3 linked regions of the Sus scrofa genome follow. Each later gene encodes a partner of the first gene's protein in a complex. Links are inferred from orthologs where the notes say so. Each region holds a gene or a part of one and is shown on either strand. Other genes may lie near its edges. The genes, in order: S100A10, HLTF and ANXA2.

The links.
Region 2: the proteins of S100A10 (region 1) and HLTF are in contact, whole or in part, in a crystal structure (PDB 4HRE), measured with the Homo sapiens proteins. The link is inferred for Sus scrofa from reciprocal best matches to the Homo sapiens genes S100A10 and HLTF. Residues at the interface, in NP_002957.1 of Homo sapiens: Phe42, Asp58, Leu59, Asp60, Gln61, Gln70, Ser74, Leu75, Ala77, Gly78, Leu79, Ile81, Ala82, Tyr86; in NP_001305864.1 of Homo sapiens: Thr32, Phe33, Phe34, Pro35, Phe37, Phe39.
Region 3: the proteins of S100A10 (region 1) and ANXA2 are in contact, whole or in part, in a crystal structure (PDB 4FTG), measured with the Homo sapiens proteins. The link is inferred for Sus scrofa from reciprocal best matches to the Homo sapiens genes S100A10 and ANXA2. Residues at the interface, in NP_002957.1 of Homo sapiens: Phe39, Gly41, Phe42, Asn45, Gln46, Ala51, Lys54, Ile55, Leu79, Ala82, Cys83, Tyr86, Phe87, Met91; in NP_001002857.1 of Homo sapiens: Val4, Glu6, Ile7, Leu8, Lys10, Leu11, Ser12, Leu13.

What each region holds. Positions count from the first base shown.
Region 1 is NC_010446.5:97,266,006-97,273,464, reverse strand, and holds S100A10 (protein S100-A10), read right to left. Parts: upstream 4,386-7,459; 5' UTR 4,365-4,385; coding exon 4,233-4,364; intron 1,372-4,232; coding exon 1,210-1,371; 3' UTR 1,172-1,209; downstream 1-1,171. UniProt on the Homo sapiens protein: Because S100A10 induces the dimerization of ANXA2/p36, it may function as a regulator of protein phosphorylation in that the ANXA2 monomer is the preferred target (in vitro) of tyrosine-specific kinase.
Region 2 is NC_010455.5:89,328,539-89,335,804, forward strand, and holds the start of HLTF (helicase-like transcription factor), read right to left. Parts: upstream 4,477-7,266; 5' UTR 4,266-4,476; coding exon 4,246-4,265; intron 3,089-4,245; coding exon 2,881-3,088; intron 1-2,880. UniProt on the Homo sapiens protein: Has both helicase and E3 ubiquitin ligase activities. Possesses intrinsic ATP-dependent nucleosome-remodeling activity; This activity may be required for transcriptional activation or repression of specific target promoters.
Region 3 is NC_010443.5:111,586,386-111,593,725, forward strand, and holds the start of ANXA2 (annexin A2), read left to right. Parts: upstream 1-2,335; 5' UTR 2,336-2,564; intron 2,565-2,838; exon of another isoform or gene 2,839-2,881; intron 2,882-7,340. UniProt on the Homo sapiens protein: Calcium-regulated membrane-binding protein whose affinity for calcium is greatly enhanced by anionic phospholipids. It binds two calcium ions with high affinity. May be involved in heat-stress response.

The sequences.
Region 1 (7,459 bases):
TCATGGGGCAGGGATCGAACCCATTCTACTGCAGTAACCAGAGCTCTGCAGTGACAATGCTGGATCCTTAATCCGCTGAGCCACAAGGTAACTCCTTTATATTTTTTGAAATAAATTTTATTGGAGTATAGGTGACCCACAATGCTGTGTTAGTTTCAGGTGTACACCAAAGCAAATCAGCCACACCCATATGTATATATCCATTCCTTTTCAGATTCTTTCCCCATATAGGCCATCACAGAGCACTGAATGATTTCCCCAAGCTATACAGCAGGTCCCTGTTACCAATCGATTTTGTATATAGTTGTGTGTACATGCCAATCCCAGCCTCCCAATGCATCCCTCCACCCAGCATTTCCTCTTGCATAACCATAAGTCTGGTCTTGAAATCGCTGAGACTGTTTCTGTCCTGCGAATAAGTCTCTTTGTGTCTTTTTTTATTAGACTCCACACATGAGTGATCTCACATAATACCCGTCTTTCTCTGTCTGACTTACTTCACCCAAGACGACTATCTCTAGGTCCATCCATGTTGCTGCAGATGGCACTATTTCACTCCTTTTTATGGCTTATTGGACTTATTTTTACCCTAGAGTTTGCTGAAACTTTGCTGTGAAAAATGGACTCAGATGTCTCGGGCATACAAAGTGGTGGTTGGAAAGGCACCGATTTAACTAGGCAGGACTATGCTCCGTCATTATAAAGTTGGAACGTATTCCTGAAGTGCCTTCTCTTAATCCTTGGCATTTTTGTCCTTCAGCTAGACACAGCTACAGGGCAGGCAGCTCAATTTCGAGATTAGACTGCAAGCCTTGGTAGACTGTGCTCTCCCAGTTTGCAGGGTCTGTGGAAAGAGCTCCGCCTCATGCTAGATGCCCAAGGTATGGGGGCTCTTTGTAAAACAAAGCAGGAAACAAGCATTTCTGAAGAAGCAAACAAACATTCTGTTTCAAATTCAGAACTAAAAAAGGAAATTTGTTTATTGAGGGTAAGAGGATGCAAGCAATATAAAAATCAAAAGCTTATCTGGGTTTAATTGACTTGTCTTTCTCTGCTTCTCAAAGCAGAGTTGGGTTTTATTTGTACACTTTCTAAGGGTCCCAGTCTGCTCAGGAAATCCTTATACAGGGGGAAGCTGGGGGGGGGCAGATTCCTTAAGCGACCCTTTGTGAGAATTCTTATCAGGGCGGCATGATTGCTCAGTGCTGCCTACTTCTTTCCCTTCTGCTTCATGTGTACAACAAAATAGTCATTGCATGCGATGGTGAGCCCAGCGATTAGCGAAAAGAAGCTCTGGAAGCCCACTTTCCCATCTCGGCACTGGTCCAGGTCCTTCATTATTTTGTCCACAGCCAGAGGGTCTTTTTGATTCTGAAAAAAAAAAAAAAAAAAAAAAAAAAAGAACAGAGGCAAGTAGTATCAATCAGTGGTTGCAACAATGAGCTTCTTGTGATGTGTATGGCTGACAACTATATATAAAATCTAATGATTTGAAATCTTGCTTTAGGTCATAAGTGATTTTTGGAGGTCATCTAAATGTATGTTTTCCCTTTGAGGGAGCATTTCTGTAAATTCATATTTATTTCAGGCTAGGAGAGAGGGTTTCATGGCTTTCTTTTAAATAACTCAGGGACTTTAGAAACAGCATATTTCTAGAAAGAGGAGGTTCAATGCCAGAGAAGGGAGACCCCCCCCAACTTTGAATTCTCAGTCCTCTTAGAATCCAGCATAGTCTTCTGATTTGCTTTCCTTATAGTCCAATTGTTAATACAGTTTTCAAAATAATAAGATTCTGCCTAAGCAGTACTCCAAACTCCCTATTTTGTAGTTTAAAGTCTCTTAACAAACTTTTATTTCCAATAGCATGATCAAGTCCTTGACAAAGAAAACTCCTTATAAAAGACCTCATGTGATTATTTAGAGAGTTAAGTTTTAGATCATTGTTCTATGGGTTTTAAAGAGGCACTTGTGATACCATGGGGCGTGTTAGGTTTAAAGAGGGTAGGCAGATGGTCCTCATTTCTTGGCACATCTGAGGCCAACCTAGTGTGGCTTCACATCACATTAGCCAGGTGACCTTAAGTAAGTCACATAGCTTTGGTGGGCCTTTGTATAACAGCTAAGAATTGAAGTAGGACCAGAGTGTCTCTAAGATTGCTTCTATTCTTAATGCGTTGGCCCGTCTATGCCATCCTGTACTCTTTGCTGGATGTTTTTACATTGAATGTACTTCAAAAGCAATATATGTAATGGAATCCTAAACTCCCCATGACTCTTAATGCCAGTGCATGGAACTGGGATGGACAGGCAAGATCCCCTTTGTTTTTTCTTTTATCCTGCTTTCATTGTGATTGACTTGATCGCTCCTTTCTGTAGTGATGGTGCTTAGAAGTGGGAAAGGGTGGTTTCTCCTGCAGGGTCCATGCCGTCAACCAGAAGGAGATATGGCCCTTTACCGGTGTTAAAGGGCTCAGGTAAAGTATTTATGAATTCCACGGACTCGTATATGTGAGGGAGGGAATAGACACTCAGTGTCTCCAGTGTGCTGGATGTTTATAAACTGCACTCAGAAATCCCTTAAGGTGAAGCAGCAGCATTTCCCACATGCCCTAAGAAATCAACTCCAACCTGTCTATACAGCTGCCTCTGCTTTTGGTGGGTTTCAGTTAATTCTGGCCTCGACCCCAGTTTCCTGGCTGAGATCAGAAGGAGTGAAATCTGGATGACATAATGCTCTGTCAATGCAGCGAGTGTGGATGTGCCTGGAATTATGACCCCATCCTTGAATAAATTAAACTGCCATGTTTAGTACTCATTGCTGAACACTTGAATTTATCAAGCCACAGAGCCTTTAGGAGGAAGGGTCTTTGTCTCATGTGATGGTCATCCTGGCTTCTAACTCCTGAGTATTTAGGAATAGACCCAGAGTGCCTTTGTTTGTGTGGTGGGAAGCTTTACAATAAGCACATTTTGTCCTTGAATTTAATGCCTGCCTGGAAGGGTCACAGAACGTGAAAGTGATCTTGGAGGTAATCACGTCCAGCCCTCTCATTTTACAGAGGAGGGAACTGAGGCCCAGAAAACTGAAGCAACCTGCCTGATATTAGTTCGGGCAGAGCCAGATCATCTAATTCCTGGTCTGGGGCTATATCACAGAACTCAACAAAAGCAGAGCAACAGTATCCTCGAACTCATTCTGGGAGAGCATTGTGGTAACTGCAGCTCTGAGAAGCTAGTTAAGCTATTTATATCTGTTTGACTGGTACTGATGACATGCGAATCATTATGTACTACAAAACCCTATGTTTACTGAGTCAGGAGTCAGAGGCTTGACTAATGCCATTTACCAGGCAGATGACAAGAGAAAGGACCCTGCCTTTAACCATCACCTCCCTCCACCCTTTAGAGGTAATGCAATATTCCACACCAAGCACAGTGATGCTTCAAGCACCTCTGACTGTGGCAGCGAGAGAAGGGCTTGCATTTCAATCTACTATTTTGTTAGGCAATGTTTCACTTTCAGTGAAATGCAGTAACCATCTCTCCAGGGCCTGCAGTATAAAAGAACTACTGTGCTTTGTGGCCTGATGTCCTGAATGATGTATCTGAGCTGATGGGAGATCCTCTTCCTTCACTGATCCCTCTCAGGCTGTCAGAGGTGAGGCATAAACCCAAACTGTTCTCCTATGTTCACACAGCCTTTTCAGTGGGAAAAGCAGTTATTTCTTGAGCAATGCCTGGCTCTCATTTAGTAAATTTCACACCATTCCCTTATAGTAGAGCTCGAAAAAAGAATTTTAAAGCCTTTATCTGAAGGGATTTAAGAAAGGAGATTCAAGCTGCTCAAAGGACAGCCTGAGGACAGCCAGGCACCCTGGTTGATTACTCCCTGGTGCAAGGCCTTTTTTCCTGCAACTCTGTCTCTATGGAGGCAGATGACTCCAGATAAAGTCGCTCTAACACCTCAAACTGTGGTGATTTGTGTGTAGTCTCATTTCACCTCCAAACTGAAAGCTCCTTGAGGGCAGAGGCAGTGTCTTCTTTACTTTCTGTTTCCAACCCCACTGTCTTACAAACAGTAGGCACTCAGTATATTTAATCAATAAATGAATGAAAACACCTTTCTAGCACTGACTTCCCCCGGGAAGGGCTGGAAAGAGGAAGGGACAGGAACCAGGGCCCAGAAGCACTGATTTCTATGTCTGGTTCTCTCTGAGCCTTTCAATACTTACTTCCAAAAATCCCGGGAACTCCTTTTCCATGAGTACTCTCAGGTCCTCCTTTGTTAGGTAGCCTTTATCCCCAGCAAATTTGTGAAATGTGAACATCATGGTTTCCATGGCATGTTCCATTTGAGACGGCATTTTCGTGAGGTCTGTTGAAACCTATTAAAGGATGTGAAGCGACAGAATTTACATTTTTTCCCCCTTTTTTGGCTGCCCTGTGGTATATGGAGTTCCCAGGCCAGGGATCAGATCTGAGCTATAGCTGCCACCTAAGCCACAGCTGTGGCAACACCAGATCCTTAACCTACTGTGCCAAGCCCAGGAACGAACCTACATCCCAGAGCTCCCAAGATGCAGCTTATCCCATTGCACCACAGCGGGAACTCCTACATTAACTTTTAAACCACATGATTTACCAGTCTTTTGAGAATGATTGGAAGAGGGCAATTTGCTCATCCAGTCCATCCTTTTTAACTGTAAAATTCAATGAATACATCAGGACCAATTCATCCCAGGTTTGGGGTCTCCTGCTGATGGAAATAGGCACTTTAGGTACTGCTGCTCTGAAGGAGGGATTGATCTAGTTGCCTGTTAACTGCACAAATCACCCAATGAAGAATAAAAATTCTAATCATTTGGAAAAGCAAGATCAGTGCCCCTCTTTTTAACTGACAAAGCTCCTACTGAGAGATGTTTCATCATTTCTCTTGGCACCGGTAAATGGGACTCAGATATAGCTGAATACCAACAACTCGCACAGTCAAGCTTGGTTAATACGAAAACTTCAATTCTCCAAAAGCTGAATTAAGTAACTTAGTTTAGTTTAAGTCTATGCTTAAGAAATCTGCTTACAAATGACTTTCATATGCTGAGTATGTATTCTTTACTAAAAGTTCTGAACTTGCTATAGATTCTAACAAACATCTGCATCTTTGGTAGTGAGTTGCAGTTGCCCTCCTCAAATAAAGCTACCCAAAGCCCATTATCTACTTTCTTGAAAAAGAACAGGTAATAGTATATCCATCCTAATTCCTTTGGGGATCTGATATATCCTTGGCAGCACTAGACAAAAGACCTACTCTCACCGTCTGGGGTGCAGTGGGAGAGCAAGAGCTTTTCATTGTGAATAGTTAAAGAAAGGAGTTCTTTTGTGGTGCAGTGGGTTAAGGATCTGGCATTGCCACTACTGCAGTTTGGGTTTGATCCCTGGCCTGGGGGCTTCCATATGCCAGGGATGCGGCCTAAATAAATAAATTAATTAAATAAAAAGATAAAGGAGATGTCAGATTGTTATATTCAGGTATAATAATCTGAGGACATGTGTCTAATCAAGACATACACTTGGTACCCAACAGGAGCCCACTGAATTTTGCTTAATTGGAAGGCAGGCTTTGGCCAGAACAGAGTAGCTTTAGTTAACAGCACCTAAAATCACTCCAGGATAAGAAACAGATGAACTTGAATAGAGACTGTAATATATACCGTGGGAAAAAAAAAAGATAAGAATAGGTTTTGAACAGAGGTTGAAGGAAAGTCTGGCATCTTCCCCTGAAGGGTTGATACAGGAACCAGAGACGTGGTTTCAGCCTGGTTTCTGCTGCTGACATATGCGTGTGTAACATATCCCTGAATACTATCTTTTATGGGGGAAGAGGGTGGAGTTGGTGAACACAAGGATTGAGCAAGTACATGTCAAAAGTTCTACCCCTTAATCCCCAGAAAAGTACAGGAATCAGCATGCCAAAGAATGTGCTACTCTAGAGAATGTTATAAACCAGAATCTGGCATGATTCATCTGGCAGGCAGGTCTCTTGGAGAGAGCAAAAAATTCAAGGTCCACTGTGGGATGAATTCCAGGGGAACCACACCTTTTCTCCTTTCTTCTGACACAGTCAGGATCTGGCTTCAGATGGCAGTGGGCTTCAGATGGCAGTGGCCGAGATTGGCTCTGGAAGTACAGCAACTTAAGAGATCTGAGCTGAATAAATCACCTATGGGAGAAGGCTGTGTGGCGTCCCACCCCAGTTCTGAATAACTAGGAAAGCAGTCAGCCACCACAGAGGTTTAAAAATACCTCTAGCTCAAGTGGCAGAGTCCTTCACAACCAATGCCTGAGGGTCCCAGAAACTCCAACTGGCTGTGGGATATCGAGTTTACTTTCTTCACAGGGCAGAACAGAAGGAAAATGCACAGCAAAGCCAGAGAAGTAAGAAAGGGAAGGCAGCAGGCTAAGGACCCCTAAAATAGAAAACAGGCTAATTTAGGAACTTCTAAGAAATAAAGGTTGTAAGCTGAGGAAGTCTTGGCCACCCTTGAATATGTTCTTCAAGAGACTGAGACCAGTTTTCTCTGAGGAGCACTCAGGTCTCAGGTCACTCCAAACCCACCCCTTCCTAGTCTGTGCTCATTATCCAGTGCTGGAGCTTTTCTGCCCCACCGGATCCCCTTTGCTGTATACTCAGCACATGGGCTGTGCACACAGCAGCCAGAAGACTCCCTGTTTGTCTGGAAGACTGTCTGCAATAAGAAGGCAGAACAGGGGCTGATCAGAAGATCCACGGTCGTGAAAAGGAAAATAGTTTTGAAAACCAGAGGAGAGGGGGAGTTCCCGTCATGGCTCAATGGTTCACGAACCCGACTTGCATCCATGAGGACTTGGGTTCACTCTCTGGCCTCACTCAGCGGGTTAAGGATCCAGCATTGCTGCAAGCTGTGGTGTAGATCCCACACACTGGTTTTAAAGTAAGATGAAGGAAAAGGGGGAAATGTCATTAACACTGCTCTCTCGGCTGGTGGATAAATCGTGCAGCTCTTCTAGAGTGCGGCAGCCGCCCAACTGAGTCAGCCGGCTCAGCCCTCCCATCCTGGGCAGGCCTTGCTCAGGCTGGGATGGTGGCAGCAGCACTGACCACTGGTTGATAAAACAGCAGTTCGGGGACCTGAATCTGGTATTTCCATCCACCCAGTCATCCGGTGAGCTCCATTCCAGGACAGGGGTTGGACTCTAGTTTCTGGCTCAGAAACACTTCCACTGGATAGCCTTGGGTCTGGGGCTGGGAGGCAGCAGCATCCTCTCTGTGCCCCAGACAACCTACTCTTGCACCTGAAACACTCCATCCATTTAGTCATTTACAGACTTGTCTGTCTTAGATTTAGGTTCCTCTAGTTAAGAACTGTGAATTATTCTGTTTTATCCATGAACCACTAAATCAGTGTTTGTTAGTGAACCAACG
Region 2 (7,266 bases), on another chromosome or scaffold:
ATGAAAGAAATAGGAGTTCCCATTGTGGCACAGTAGAAACGAATCTGACTTGGAACCATGAGGTTGTGGGTTCGATCCTTGACCTCGCTCAGATCTGTTGTGGCTGTGGCTGTGGCTCCGATTTGACCCCTAGTCTGGGAAACTTCATATGCTGCGGATGTGGCCCTAAAATGCAAAAAAAAAAAAAAAAAAAAAAAAGGAAAGGATATCCATTTGGAGTTCCCGTCGTGGCGCAGTGGTTAACGAATCTGACTAGCAACCATGAGGTTGCGGATTCGATCCCTGCCCTTGCTCAGTGGGTTAACGATCCGGCGTTGCCGTGAGCTGTGGTGTAGGTTGCAGATGCGACTCGGATCCCGCGTTGCTGTGGCTCTGGCGTAGGCCGGTGGCTACAGCTCCAATTCGACCCCTAGCCTGGGAACCTCCATATGCCGCGGGAGCGGCCCAAGAAACAGCAACAACAACAACAACAACAAAAAAAAAAAAAAAAAAAAAAAATACCCCAGGGAGTTCCCATTGCGGCTCAGTGGCAACAAACTTGACTAGTATCCATGAGGATGCCAGTTCAATCCCTTCTATCTATCTATCTATATATATGAAAGAAATAAACAAAAAGGTCCTACTGTATAGCACACAGAACTATATCCATTCTCCTGGAATAGACCATGAAGGAAAAGAATATTAAAAAAGAATGTATATACACATATGACTGAGTTGCTTTGCTGCACAGAAGAAAGTGGCACAATACTGTAAATCAACTATATTTTTAAATTCTGAAATAGAAGAAAATTAAGTTACAGAACAGTCAACACTAAGACATCACCAAATGAAACTACTGGACTTTCAACATAAGCGAAATAATCTTCAGTTATCCAAGCAAGGTAAGTCCGATTCACTTATGTAGGAGAGAATCACATTGGCATCAGAATTTTCACCAGCAATATTTTATACAATATCAACATATCATGGAGATGGAGTTCCCATTGTAGCTCAGGGGAAACAAATCTGATTAGCATCCATGAGGATGCAGGTTTGATCCCTGGCCCTGCAAAGGATCTGGCATTGCTGTGAGCTGTGGTATAGGTCGCAGATGTGGCTTGGATCTAGCATTGCTGTGGCTGTGGTATAGGCCAGTGGCTACAGCTCTGATATGACCCTTAGCCTGGGAACCTCCATATGCCATGGGTGCAGCCCAAAAAAGACCAAAAAAAAAAAGATATCATGGAGAAAAAAACATGGGTCAAGGATTTTATATTCAACCTAACTGCCCTTGAAGCATAAATATCCCAATTATGAACATTTAAAAAAATCAGGAAATGGTGTTCCTTCCTAAGGATGTCCTAGACACCACATTTCAGCACATTTCAGACAATTACAAAATAATCTGAGAAATGCAGTACTATAAAGAAAATATGGGAAAATAAAACACTAAACAAATCTAGATCATAGAATTCTTTCGCAAGGTGTCTCCTTCAAAACATGCTTCAGACAATCAAAAAATGATTTGAGAAGCTTAAACATAAGAAAAATATTGAGGAATAGAAGAACTAACAAGTCCAACTTCCCATAGAACAACACATGCAGTTTCTGCAATAAATCAATGACGTGAAACAAAGGGTGACTTATGAAACATAACAACCAAAGGGATATTAACTTGTTTTGGTTCTGATTTTTAAAAAATTAATTATAAAAAGGCATTTGTAAACAATCAAGATAAGTTATTATGGATTAGTTATTAGGTGTAATAGAAACTAGTATTATTTTGTTAAATATAACAATGAGAAAGAAAATTTCTAAATTTTTTAGGTACACACTTAAATGTTGTAAAGTGATGCAGCTGGAATTTTTAGTACCAAAGAAAAAGAAAGTGATGAGCAAATGTGCAAAAAACTTGTCTAACTGCTGAATATGGATCATAAGTATATGAAAATTCATTGTATCATTCTAATTCTATGCATGTTTGAAATTTTTCATAATTAAAAAAAAAAAGTAGGAGTTCTCGTTGTGGTGCACTGGAAATGAATCTGACTAGGAACCATGAGGTTGCGGGTTCAGTCCCTAGCCTCATTCAGTGGGTTAAGGATCTGGCGCTGCTGTGAACTGTGGCATAGGTCGCAGACGTGGCTCCGATCTGGGCTTTGCTGTGGCTGTGTAGTAGGCCAGCAGCTACAACTCTCATTCGACCCCTAGCCTGGAACCACCATATGCTGCAGGTGCCCTAAAAGACGAATAAATAAATAAATAAATAAATAAAAATAAAAGTAGATATATCATCCAAATAACACAGAGCATACTAGACAACCATAACAAAGACAACTGCTTTCTCTTTGTCTCTGTTTTCTCTCTCTCACATACACAGAGCAGAAAACAGAGATACAGAAACATAAACGCAGGAAGAAAAATTGGAAATAGTTTTACTATAGAAAGGAAAAAAAGACCTAAAAGTAGACAATTCTCTTGTCTAGTACTTCCTACATTAAAAATACTAAAATGTAAAAATGTGCTGAAGGATAGGAAAGGAGAAAGCAAGAGACTTGGAAGTTATTTTGCAAATTTACCACATAGTATCTGTACTTTCTATGCAAATCATTTAACCATCCTGAGCTACCTTTACTCAGTTCTAGAAAGGGATAATAGATGTCCTACTACCTCAGAGACACTCTAGTGATCAAATGAGACCATACAGGAAACAGTGCTTTGTATATTGTGACCATGATATAAATGTAAAAGAATGTAAGTAATTAGGTATTTGTTATCTCTTCCCTAGATATATTTCAATTACTTAAATTAAGATATTTACTGCACATATCACCTTCTCACTCTTATTTTCTACATTAATAGATGACATCATATAAACTTAGTATCTAATATTATACTCACTACTCCTGTGTAATAGCGTAGTCCAACTACATGACCTCTCAAAGTACCAAATAAAACTGAATCTAGCTCTTCATCACTCGTTAGGAAGTCATCTGGAGGAATAATATCTTGGAATTCAAAACGTGGAAAGAAAGTTGGATATGAGAGGCGTGGAAAATTTCCATGGACTCCATACTGGACAGTTTGCAAGTACTTCCAAACAGGATCTCTTAAAACAAAACAAAACAAAAACAAAAAACAGGAAAACAATACAATATTTAACCAAATATTTCTCAAAGACTATACCACACTTAAAGGCCAATTGTTTTCTCACACTTCATTTCAAAAAATTAAATCTCATGTGGGAAGGGCTATATGAAGATTAATATATATAGTTCCTCTGGTTAAAGCAGGGATTAAAGTGAGTACAGGTTTCTAGAAACCCTACCTACCTGTTCAATAATGTCTCTTCTGCCCACAGGTACTCAAAGTGAAAACCCCAATAAGGGTTCACAAACCTCTTTCCTAGTGATGATCACCTATTTAAAGTAAAATGTGTGTGATGTCTGCAAATAATTATATGCCAAAATTTCAATAGAGAATGAGCTGGAAGAGACTTGCAAATAAAGGACTATCTATACATGAAGCCATTTATAACTTTACAAGTAATACATCCAACATCCATTACGTGAATTCTCCTCGAAGAGACCCCGCATTTTATTCAGGTATCCAAACCATGTCACAATGGGAAGCTGACATCAAGCCTCCCCTCCCTTGGTTTAAGGGTAACCTCAATTCCCCCATAGATAATTGGAGAGCTGTTTCTGGAACGGGTATGTAACCCAATTTGGACAATGAAGAGAGGAAGCCGGAGAGGGGGCTTTCAGGAAGCTTCTATTATCCTAAGAACGGACTGACGCTATTTCCCCAGCGCTTGGCTTGCACGTCGCGCATACTGCTTCTGGCTCCCCTGCAGATAGATATTTGCACGTCTGTGCACGCACATCAACGGTGAGCTCCTTGAGGATACGGGCTGTCTTATCCGGCCCTTTCTGCCGAGCACAATGCCGAGGGCACAGTGGGTATCTGATGAGTGTCTTGCAGGTCACAATCCCGGCCTAAGAGTGTGGCTTTGAGCCAGGCCCCCTTACAGCCCTTGACAGAAATTTCCCCAAGCCCTGGCATGAGATTCGCCTGAGGAGCCTCCCCTCGCCAGTCAAAACTGTGCATTTCTTTCTCCCGCAGCTATTAAAAGCCGCCAGCAGGACGAACACTGGCTGCACAGCTCGCACGGGTAACGCGAAGGAAACGCGGGGAAGGTCAGGTTCATCTAGGGACGCCGCCAGGCCGTTACCCCCGGTGCCCAACCCCCTCCGCCCCCTTCACCTCTTAAACATCCAGGACATGGCGCTGGGTGGGTGACGAGGGGAACGCTTGGGCGCCCGGGATCGTTCTCGAGCGGCCTCGATAAGTCTCCTTCCAGGGCCCGCGGCCGAGAAGCCGGGGACAGGTTTCTAGAGCCGCGAGCAAGAGCGCACTCCAGAAAGGTGAGACGCCGGGAGCCTAGTCAGACGTCGACGCCGACCCCTTCCAGCAACAATCTGAGAGACAAGTGACGCTTTGTGACTGGCACCGCCTACCTCCAATCCCGAGGAGGAGTTTACGCAGACGAACCAATCAGGGCACGGAGGGGTGGGCAGCTCCGCCCCGCGCAGCGATTCAAAGACTTGGGGGGCTGTCCCCGCTGCAGGGGCGGTTCCATCCGGGTTCTCCCTCAACCCCAAGCTAGTCGCGCGGGAAAGCCACGCGGCCCCAGCAGGCGGACTACGGTGCTTACGGTGTTCGCGTTTCTGATTGATTCCCCGCCTCAAGCAGAGGGCGACCACTGTCTTTTGCACTGTTTCCCTCAAGCCCTAAGCCTCAGCCCCATTCTTCAGGCTCTACCTCAGCCTACCTCGAATTTTCTCTTCATCTGATGTGACATATAGTAGGGTATTCCACTGAATAAGCTCCCGGCTTTAAGAGCCCTGGAGCTACCAACGAGATCCTGTCCTTCATCTTCTGTGGTGAACCCGTGTAGTTGCCCTTAAAATGTGCATTTTAAACCCCGCTAGCTAACCAATGAGACAGACCGGCCTCAGAGAGCATAATTGCAGTTTCGATTTATGGAGTCCCTACCCCCCACCTCTTTTTTAAGAGAAATTTTTCATTCTACTAGAGGAAAGCCATAAAATGAGATGACAGCACAAGAGCTTTATTGGTGACTGCTGGAAGTGGCCAAGTTTCCCCTGGGGGTAAGCTGCTGTCCCTGCGGGGCAGGAAGAAGTTGGTTTTCCGTGGGGAACTGTAGGGGGCACTCCCAAGGGCTCTGTCGCCCTCTTTTGAGAGTCTGAGGAGACTCAGGAGAATTCGGCTTTGAGTGGGTGGGCGAGTGGGCCGGCTGCAGCGCAGGCGCTGTCAGGGCTGGTTCTCTGTCCCCTGGGAGCCTTTTAACTTGTGCAGCAGCAGCCCTAGGGTAACAAGCTGGTGGTGGCCCTGACCTGTGCTTTGGACTTGATATAACTGTAACACAACTGCTTGTGGACCAAAGAGGAAATGTATTTGAGAAAGGGGTTAGTGTTGACCCGTGCCCTTCGAAGAGTGGTCCATTTTACACGTCCATCAGCAGGGTATGACAGGCAGTCAATGAAACAGTTTTTCAAGAGGCATTTGTTGATTAACTTAAACTATCACAATCTGTAAATATGAACCTACAGTAGAATGAGAAAAGAAACTTGCAGCAACTTATTCATTTCACTAAATAGAAGGAAGATGAAGAGAATGGCATTTCAAATTATTTTAGTTATTTTACTTTCTTCTGGAAGTAGTATGAGGCAAAAGGCAATATTGTTCAGTTTTTGATGTGCCAGATCTAAATAACCGATCTATTGGAAAATACGGCAGTAAATGCCTAAATTGAAAATGATTTATGTGTAAAGTTAATAAATTATGTTCGTCAGACTGAAAGATAAAATTGCAAATGTACCAATATAGGTAAACCTTACTCATTCAAGACTTGACACCTGTTAGGAAAGGCCATCCCACAGGTAAAGAATATGGATTGAATGCAGTAAAAACACCTATTTAAAGTCAACGTTTGTGTTTATATTGTCACTATTTTACATCTCAGACCTAGCAGCTGAACTTACTTGAACACTTTCACTTAATCATTCTTTATTATTTTTAGTTTTAAAAAAGGGTAATTTGTACTAGTTTGATTAAAATGTCACAACACTTACAAATTCAGAACTATCACACCAGATAATGTTTTCTGAAAAATGAACATTTATAACTGAAAAAAGAGAATTGGACAATGTCTTGTGTGTTGGACTGATGGATAAGGAGGAGATTGTCACAAAGAGGACAGCAAAGAAGATAAGGGCCAGATAACATACAAATTTATAGTCTATGATAGAGTTTTATTTTAAATGCAATAGAAAGTCACTAAATGTTTTTAGCAGGAGAATGACAAATCTAAAAATAGGCTTTAAAAAATTCACTCTGGCAGCTCTGTGGAAAATGGGAACAAAAACAGAAACAGAGAGACTGGTTAGTTGATAATCAGGAAATGATTGTGTCCAGGAGAGAAATGATGATAGCGTGGAATGGGGAGGTGATGAAACTAAGACAAACCAAAGGGTTTGCTAATGGATTTGGATATGGGTGCTGAGGAAGGGGAAAGAGTAAAAAATTCCTCCAGCTACCCACCTCCTAGTCACAAACATGCTTTCTCATCCTCTCTTCCACTTTATGCAAATTAAACATGTCCCTTCCCTGTTTGATGCTATGAGCATGAAGTCAAAGAATGGCATGTGTGCCCCCCCCCTTTTTTTTTGTCTTTTTAGGGCCACAACTGCAGCATATGGACATTCCCAGCCTAGGGGTCGAATCAGAGCTGCAGCTTCCAGCCTACACCACATCCATAGCAACACCAGATCCTTAACCCACTGAGTGAGGCCAGGGATCGAACCTGAATCCTCATGGATACTTGTCGGGTTTGTAGCCGCCTGAGACACAACAGGAACTCTCATGTGTGGCTTTTTATAATCTGTCCCCTACTTCTCACCCCTGTCACTTCCCAACACACCCTGCCTATAATGGCCTTCATATGCATAACCATAAGGACATTCTCACACCCAAAGAAAGTAATAACAAATCAAGAGTTCCTGTTATGGCTCAGCAGTAACCAACCTGAATAGGATCCATGAGGATGTGGGCTTGATCCCTGGCCTCACTCCATGAGTTAAGGATCAGCATTGTTGTGAGCTGTGGTGTAGCTCAAAGACGGACCTCAGATCCCGAGTTACTGTAGCTATGGCTGTGGCTGGTGGCTTCAGCTCCAATTTGACCCCTAGCCTGGGAACTTCC
Region 3 (7,340 bases), on another chromosome or scaffold:
ATTAAAACAAGAATTGGCAAACTAGGGCCCATAAAACCAATCCAGGCTGTTGTTGCATAAGCCCACATGCTAAGAGACCTGGCAACTTTAGCTTTTGTTTCTTGAGAGCCACCTGCCATTACTATCTGATGTAAAGAGGAAAACCTGGCAGATGAGTGTCCAAGGGACAGAGAGACCCAGCCTGCTCTCAGCCATTCCAGCAACCCCAGTGGAGGCACCAGCCCAGTGAGTGAAATTCCTTTCCATCGTACCACTTCAGCTGAGCTGCCCCACCCAACATCACGGAGTAGAGACAAGCTGTTCTGAGTCCTGTCCAAATTACAAAACCATGAGCAAATAAATGGTTGTTTATGTTTGAACCACTCAGTTTTGGTGATAATTGGTGGGACTGCGATAAGCAACTTGAGTGCACTGTTTAATCTCTGGACTAGGTAGGAGACATTATTTGGGCTCCAGTTTATTCATCTATACTAATCAAGGATTGGACAAAGTAGTGTCTTTTTTTTTTTTTTTTAATTGGCTTTAGCAATTTAATTGGCTGTTACTGGAGCAGATTTATTTATTTATTTAGCCACTCTTTCAGCATGTGGAAGTTCCAGGCCAGGGATCAAACCCATGCCACAGCAGTGACCCGAGCCACAACAGTGACAATGCTGGGTCTTTAACCTGCTGAGCCACCAGGGAACTCCAAGTTAGTGTCTTAAGGTCCCTCTCTACTCTAACATGCTATTTTTGGGTGAATAATTCCATTCTGTTATTCTGTAGTTTTTAGTAAGTGCCTATGCCTGCTAGCTAGGCACTATTAGTAGTGAGTGCAGCAGATAAAGTGTGAACAAAATAAAGTTAAGGCTTTAGAGGAGACCATGCACTATAGCAGACATAATCTGAGATCTGTTGTAGTAAACATTCTCCCAGCCATGGGGGGAAAAACAAGAAAGGAAAAAGGATCTTTGCACTCAGCCATTCAAAACTTCTTTTATAGAGGCAGAACTGGCCCCACATTGCTCATAAATAGCAAACTGTGACTTCTAACAGCTTCATTTTTCTGATAACAACAGTGTGACATTCTGTAGCATAAAGCAAACTCTGACTATTGAACAGATCTGTATGTTTGGATTTGCTGGATGCCCTAGATAAGCAAAAGCATTCTTTTGGATACTTGGCTTTTAGGTAGTCCACAGGATTTGAATTAAATCTTATCTTCTGTAGAGGGCCTATAACAGCACAACTAGGAGTCAGAGGCTGTGCAATCAGCCCTGAGAAGAGAAAGAGAGTCAGAATCTTGTCCACCATTATTATCATCCTGTGTTCGCCTTCTGTTCCAAAACGTTCAGGGAGTAGGCAGAAAAACACAATTTCTGGCTTAAAAGTTTTCAGTCTAAATTGAATAGCTCTGAATGTAAATCAGAAATTGTATGAACAGAGTTGCTTTCTTTTCTATTTGTCCTTCTGACAGTGCCAATCGTGTTTCATTCTGAGTGAAAGAAATGGGTTGGGTGAGCTCTGAGTTGAGTGTCCAGAGGCCCCGTTTATGGTCTGGATTTGACTTTGAGCTTGGGAACGATGTCTTGGCCTTACCATTTTCTGATTCCCAGGAGTGAAATGATACTGAAGAGTAAAAATGGACGGTAACATAGGTGGAAAATTAAAACACAGAAGCATCAAGACCAGCAGAGAGCTACGTGAGGTGTATGAAAGGAATTAAAAGGAGCCAAGGGCGATCTTTTGGATTCTTAGCATAACTTTCCCTCTAGTTTGAGGTTTGAATACAGTGTTTACGCAGTCATACACAAAACCATGTTTGTCTGCATGTTGCCGCTGCAGTTCGTGGAAAGAGCATGGAAGAAAATGAGAAACTGAACAAAACCAGGGAGCTTACTGAGAGGCTGAGAGGGAAACAAAATCAAACCAAACAAAAAAATGGCAGTTCGGAAAGAAGGAAGGGAGGAAACTTCTTTGTTGGAACTCGAGGTTCTAAACCATCGGCCCCACCCAGTCCAAGGCTGCCTGCCACGAGGACTCGCAGAGCAGAGCTGCTCCACACGGGAGGCTGAACGGTCCCGGGAAGCGTGGAGGGAAACGAAGGGCGCGCTCAGGCAAAGGGCGCCTCCCCGGCGGGGCGGGGGGGTGGTGGGTAAGAACTTGGCTCCGGGTCTGGGCCCCCTAACGCGCCACCCAGCTCCCACCGTAGTTCCACGCCTCGCAGCGCGCTCGGAGGCGGGGGCGGACCAATCGTTTGCCCGCCGGGACCGTGTGGACCGTCCCCCCCCACCCCCACCCGCCGCGCCTCCGCGCGCTCCTCCCAGGAACTGTCGGTCAGAGGTTAAGCTAATATGTGTGCTGTCGGTAACCGGGAGCTGAATGCCAACGGCTCAGCTCGGGGGAATCACGATTTATGTTTCTTGGCACAATTCTTCCTTCCATTGCATTGACGCCTTAAAAAAAAGTGACATAGCCAAGCTCAGAGTCGGCTCAAGTCTTGCCAATTTATAAATTGAGCCGGGGCTGAGAACTCGACGTGGCGCTCCAGAAGTAAAAGAGGAAGGGAGGAAGAAACGAAGCCGGTACTGGGCCTCAAGGAAGCCTCGGCGGCGCTTTACCGGAGGGCAGCGCCGTGGGCGCGGGGCCGCTCCCACTGGCGCGGCCCGGGGAACGTTACAGGGCGAGGCGGACCCTGCGGGCGGCGGCGGGCGGGCTGGGTAGGGTGAGTCACCCCGACTCCCGACTCCGGGTGCGAATGGGCCAGGGCAGGGGAAGGCGGGGCGGGGCGGGGCGAGGCGGGCCTCGGCGGGGAGGATGTGGTGGCTATAAAAGCCCCACCCAGGTCAGGCAGCTCCGCTCTGCATCTGGGGACGCTCGCAGCGCTCGGCGCCTGGCCCAGGTAAGCGGGGCGCCTCGTCCGCCCGCTATGGCCCTGGGGCCACCGCGCTAGCGGGGCGCAGAGAGGCGGGGAAGGAGACGGCCTTGCAAAGAGAAGCTCCAGTGGTGGGGACCCCGAGGCTGTCTGGGGAGAGGGCTGGAGAGTCCGTCCGCACCAGGGGCTCTCTGGGGAGGGGGCATAGTGGGGATCTGGACTGGAGTGAGGGGGGGCCAGGTGCGCCCCAGCCTGGGGAGTGCAGGGCAGAAGAAGGGGGTTGGGCATCCCATCCCCGAAGTGCTCGCAGGAAGCCCGGAGAAGTGGCGCCGAGAGAGGAGCGGGGGGCGGGGGGCGGGGGGAGGCCCCGCATTCCAGACGGGCCAGACGCGGCGGGGGGCAGGGTGTGGCCGCCCTGGAGCCCCGGGTCTGGTGGAGAGCAGACTTACGGCACCCTCCACGCGTTACACGACCCTCTAGAAAGAAATCCCCACCTGTTCCAAGTTACTTTACTTGAAACAGAGGCGCATTTATGGAACTTGTGCCGACTAGTAGAAGGGAAGCAGTGAGGGGAGGATAAGGGGTGGGAGCTGTTAGCAGCGGCCCCCTGCTCCAGTCAAACAAAACAGAATGAAGAAACCTCATTCTCCTTTGTCTAGATTATCTTGTAAGAGCAACTTCTGATTTCCGTGTATCCTTCCCTACTTGGTTGACCACTTTTGCATCGGGAAGGAAGTGTCCCCCAACCCCGGGGTTCTGTGGGGAGGGTTGTCACTGACTGACTTGCACTGATGCAGCAGTGAGTCAGGGACGGAAGGTACAGAAAAGGGCGTGGCCCCTCAGGCCGCTGCTTGGGAGTTCTGTGAGGACGCCAATTCCTACCTTCCTCATAGGGTTGTCATGAAGATTTCAAAAAACACGTTCATTCAAAAATAAATATGTAAAGCACACTGAAAACATTAGGTGCCATACAACACAAAGTGTCCTTATTTTTGTGTTAAGATTTGCCATTTTAAAGTTATTTAAAGGTATTCTCCATCTGTGTACAGAAGAGCAGTAACCTCATGGGTACGTATTGGGTCTTTACCAAGAACCATAGTGTTCTGGAGTCCAGGATTCTGTTCCCCGACACTCAGAGAACTCTACTAGTGGGTTCTATCCAAAAGTGTGCCTAACTGTGCTTGTCTGGAACTTGGTTATTTGGGATGCCGATTTCACTTTCCCACTGAAGCAATGTTATGGAAGGCGCTTAATTTGTCAGACTAGCCCAGAGACCCTGTGTGCACTGAATCAAAAATACTGATAATATATGTGGAATTTGGGAGGTGGGCTGTTGGGGAGCGAAGGGAAAGTGAAAGGGTAGGTTAGGGAGGATATGGAGATAAAAAGAATAAATCACTGAAACATTTCACTGGAACTTTTTCTTCATTTTAAGCTTGACCCTTATTAAATTATTTTAATTGTAAAATTATATCTTTGTCACCCTCCCCACTTTTGTCTCTCTTCCTCCTGATTCTTTGAAGACCCACGCCCCTGCCAAATGGCAAAAGCCCATCCCTGCTTATCCAGTTCTGCATTCCCCTCCTTGTATATCTAGCTAGAGACTAGCAGATTGAATCCATATTCATTAATATTCAATACTAGGAATGGCTGGTGGTCCTAAAATGCCCAGCATCCTAGGGGAGTTGTATTATTTAAAAAAAAACAAAACTTTTTAAACATAAACATCTGTAATTTATAGGATTTGAGGCTATGGAATTAAGGAGCCACATAATAGACAATGTGAAGGGAGATTTTAGATGAGGTCCATTTGAGGGTCCTTTGTGGTCAGTGGTGTTAAGACCATCTCGCAAAGCACTCTCTTCTCTTCTAGCTCCATCTTTTACCTCAAAGCTTCATCAAGGCTTTCTCCAGAAGTTTACAGTGCATCTACAGTGGAAGGGTGTGACCATCAGTGTAAATTTTTTTAGTTGAAGGTTTATGATTTGGGGACCACCTGGATTTTGTGATTTCCTTCAGTGCCAAATGGCTTGCCTGCTGTAAATGCACAGGAAATACTGCTGCCTTACTGGTTTTGATCAGGAGCTTGGTTTTGGACTAGAGTCTCAATATTTAACATCCGTGTCTTTGAGCTATTAAAGTACTGTATCGATTAACGTCCTGGGCGGTCGTGGCCATTAGTTTCCTGACTAATTTCTAATTTAAGTAGTTTTCCTGGCAAGGTAGGTATCTGTCTGTAATTGCTATTGATTTTGAGGGCTGTAGGCTCTTCCTGCACTGTTGGGCCTGGAATCTGGTCTTGATCTTTGCTTGTGTGGGCCTGCTGAAGTGTTTCTCACTAACTGAAGGTGGGTGTGTCACAGAAAAGTCTCAGGCTCTCCTGAGCTGCTTCAAACATCTGTTCATTCAATAATGTTTATTATACCATGTTGTATTCACAGGTAGAAGCACTGGGGATACACCAGTGACCAAAATAGAACAAAAACAAAGAAAATCTCTGCTCTTTAGACTTTAAATCTAGTGGGGAGAAAAATATTAGAGACAAAAATGAGTGAGATGCATAGACAGTCAGTGAATTGTGAACTTGGCCCTTTCCCCACTTAATATTGGTTTCCAGATTTGGTTGGGACTCATTTTCCCTTTAATCCAGCTGTCCCACAGACCTGAGCATCATATTTAACCTGCTTTAGGGAAGGTGTGGTTTAAAGTTATCATGACTTAGCCTGCCTTCCAGATTTGTGAGACTAGAAATGAAATGCTCTTTTTTTTCTCTTGCATGTGGGAATCCACCTCCCTCATAGTCCCTGGTGCCACACCCTGTTCTGGCTGTAGGCTCCATCAGAGGAAATTCCTGTCCTTTAAAAATTTTTTTTTCCGCTCATTCACTGTCGGCTGTATTTTTCCTCCTCCAGTTGCCAGAGGCGGTCCCCAGCTACTTGGTTGGGGCACAGTCGGGGTCAGAAGATGACCAGGCCTGTTCTTCTGTGCGGTTCCACTGAGATTACCTCCAAATCTCTCTCCCAGGGAGCACTCTGAAGCTTTTAACCCCCCTGAGCTCTGTCCTATCAGAAGACGGTGTAGCATTCAAGTGGTCTGAGTTAATACTCCCCAGGCTTGGTGTGGAAAGTTCTGACTCCAGGGAGCAGCTGTCCCATGGAATCCTTGCCCTTTGTCTCTCTGCCACACCCAGTCTCCACACTCCCAGTTCAGAGGAAATCAGAGTCCCAAGGCCACTTGCAAACCCTTCCTCCTTGCCCCTCCTTCTCTGCCTTCCTTACTGAAGATGTGGGTAACATTTCCACATTGTCTTGTGGACAGAGCTGGACCTAGGGGACCCCGGTGGTAAAGAGGGGGGTGTTGGGCAGGGTGTGTGAGGGGAGGTGAGCCACATGTGATGAGATGGAGGCGGTACCCGGAATTGATCTACCAGGCTTTACAGAGATTGGAACCTCCGAGCCTGGGAACTTAAGCCTCAGCTCTGAACATATGGAACCAGACCTGCACTTGAGATATTCTGAGGAAAAGAAAGAATTGAGGAGGAGTGTATTAGAAAAGGGGGGGGAGAGACAATTCAGAAAGATCCAGTGTGTGTAAACCATCCAGAAATGTGAGTACAAAACGCTTACACTGCAAGGCATGGCTCAGACCTATGAGGAAACGGGAATGAGTAAGACAGAAACCCCGTGGGAGGATAGAGTGGAAGAATGCCTTTGTACACTGAGCTCTGATATTTCACAGACACAGCAAGGGAGACAGGAGTGCAGGGCAGGGAGAGGGGCAGGAGAAAGGTAACAGTGTGTTTTGTATCCTGAAGTCTCATGAGAATGTCAGCTGATCCAGATTGAGTGCTCCCAGTGGAGGGAACTTGGAGAGCCTGGGCCTGAGGTTGTAAGACAGCACTGAGTGTGTTGGAGAATTACCAGGCAAGAGTCTGACTTTGGTTCGTGCACGTGTGTGCGTGTGTGTTTGCACACGCTTTATTTATGAAAGAATAAGTAGCGTCCAGCATGTGGAAGATCCTGAATGCTCTTTTGACCCTTTTCTATAAGCAGCAGGGCCCGGTTGGAAATACGTGGGCCATAAAACACTGAAATTGAATTGTACATGTGAAGACCTTGATTTCCCAACCCCGAAAAGTGCCTCAGGCCAAGTGACATCATTCTTCTGCCTGGCTCTTTCCACTCGAGCCCCATATCAGGAGATTGGTGAGAGGCTCTGAGAGTAAGAGGCTGTGGTGTCTGGAGGTAGCAAACAAATATTGATTCAGGTCGGGCAGCAAAAGGGACAGGCCAGAGCAAGTGCCACTGTGTCCCTCCAGCTCAATTTGATCATGGCCACTGGGCAGAATTCCAGGATTTCTGGGGAATGACTTGCTCCTGTGACTCAGGCATTAATCAAGACCATAAAACCAAGGAGAAAAGTCTGTGCTTTCAGGAAGGTTCTGTTCACTAAAAATGCTTTTGAGGGGAGGGGTAGTGAGTGGTGT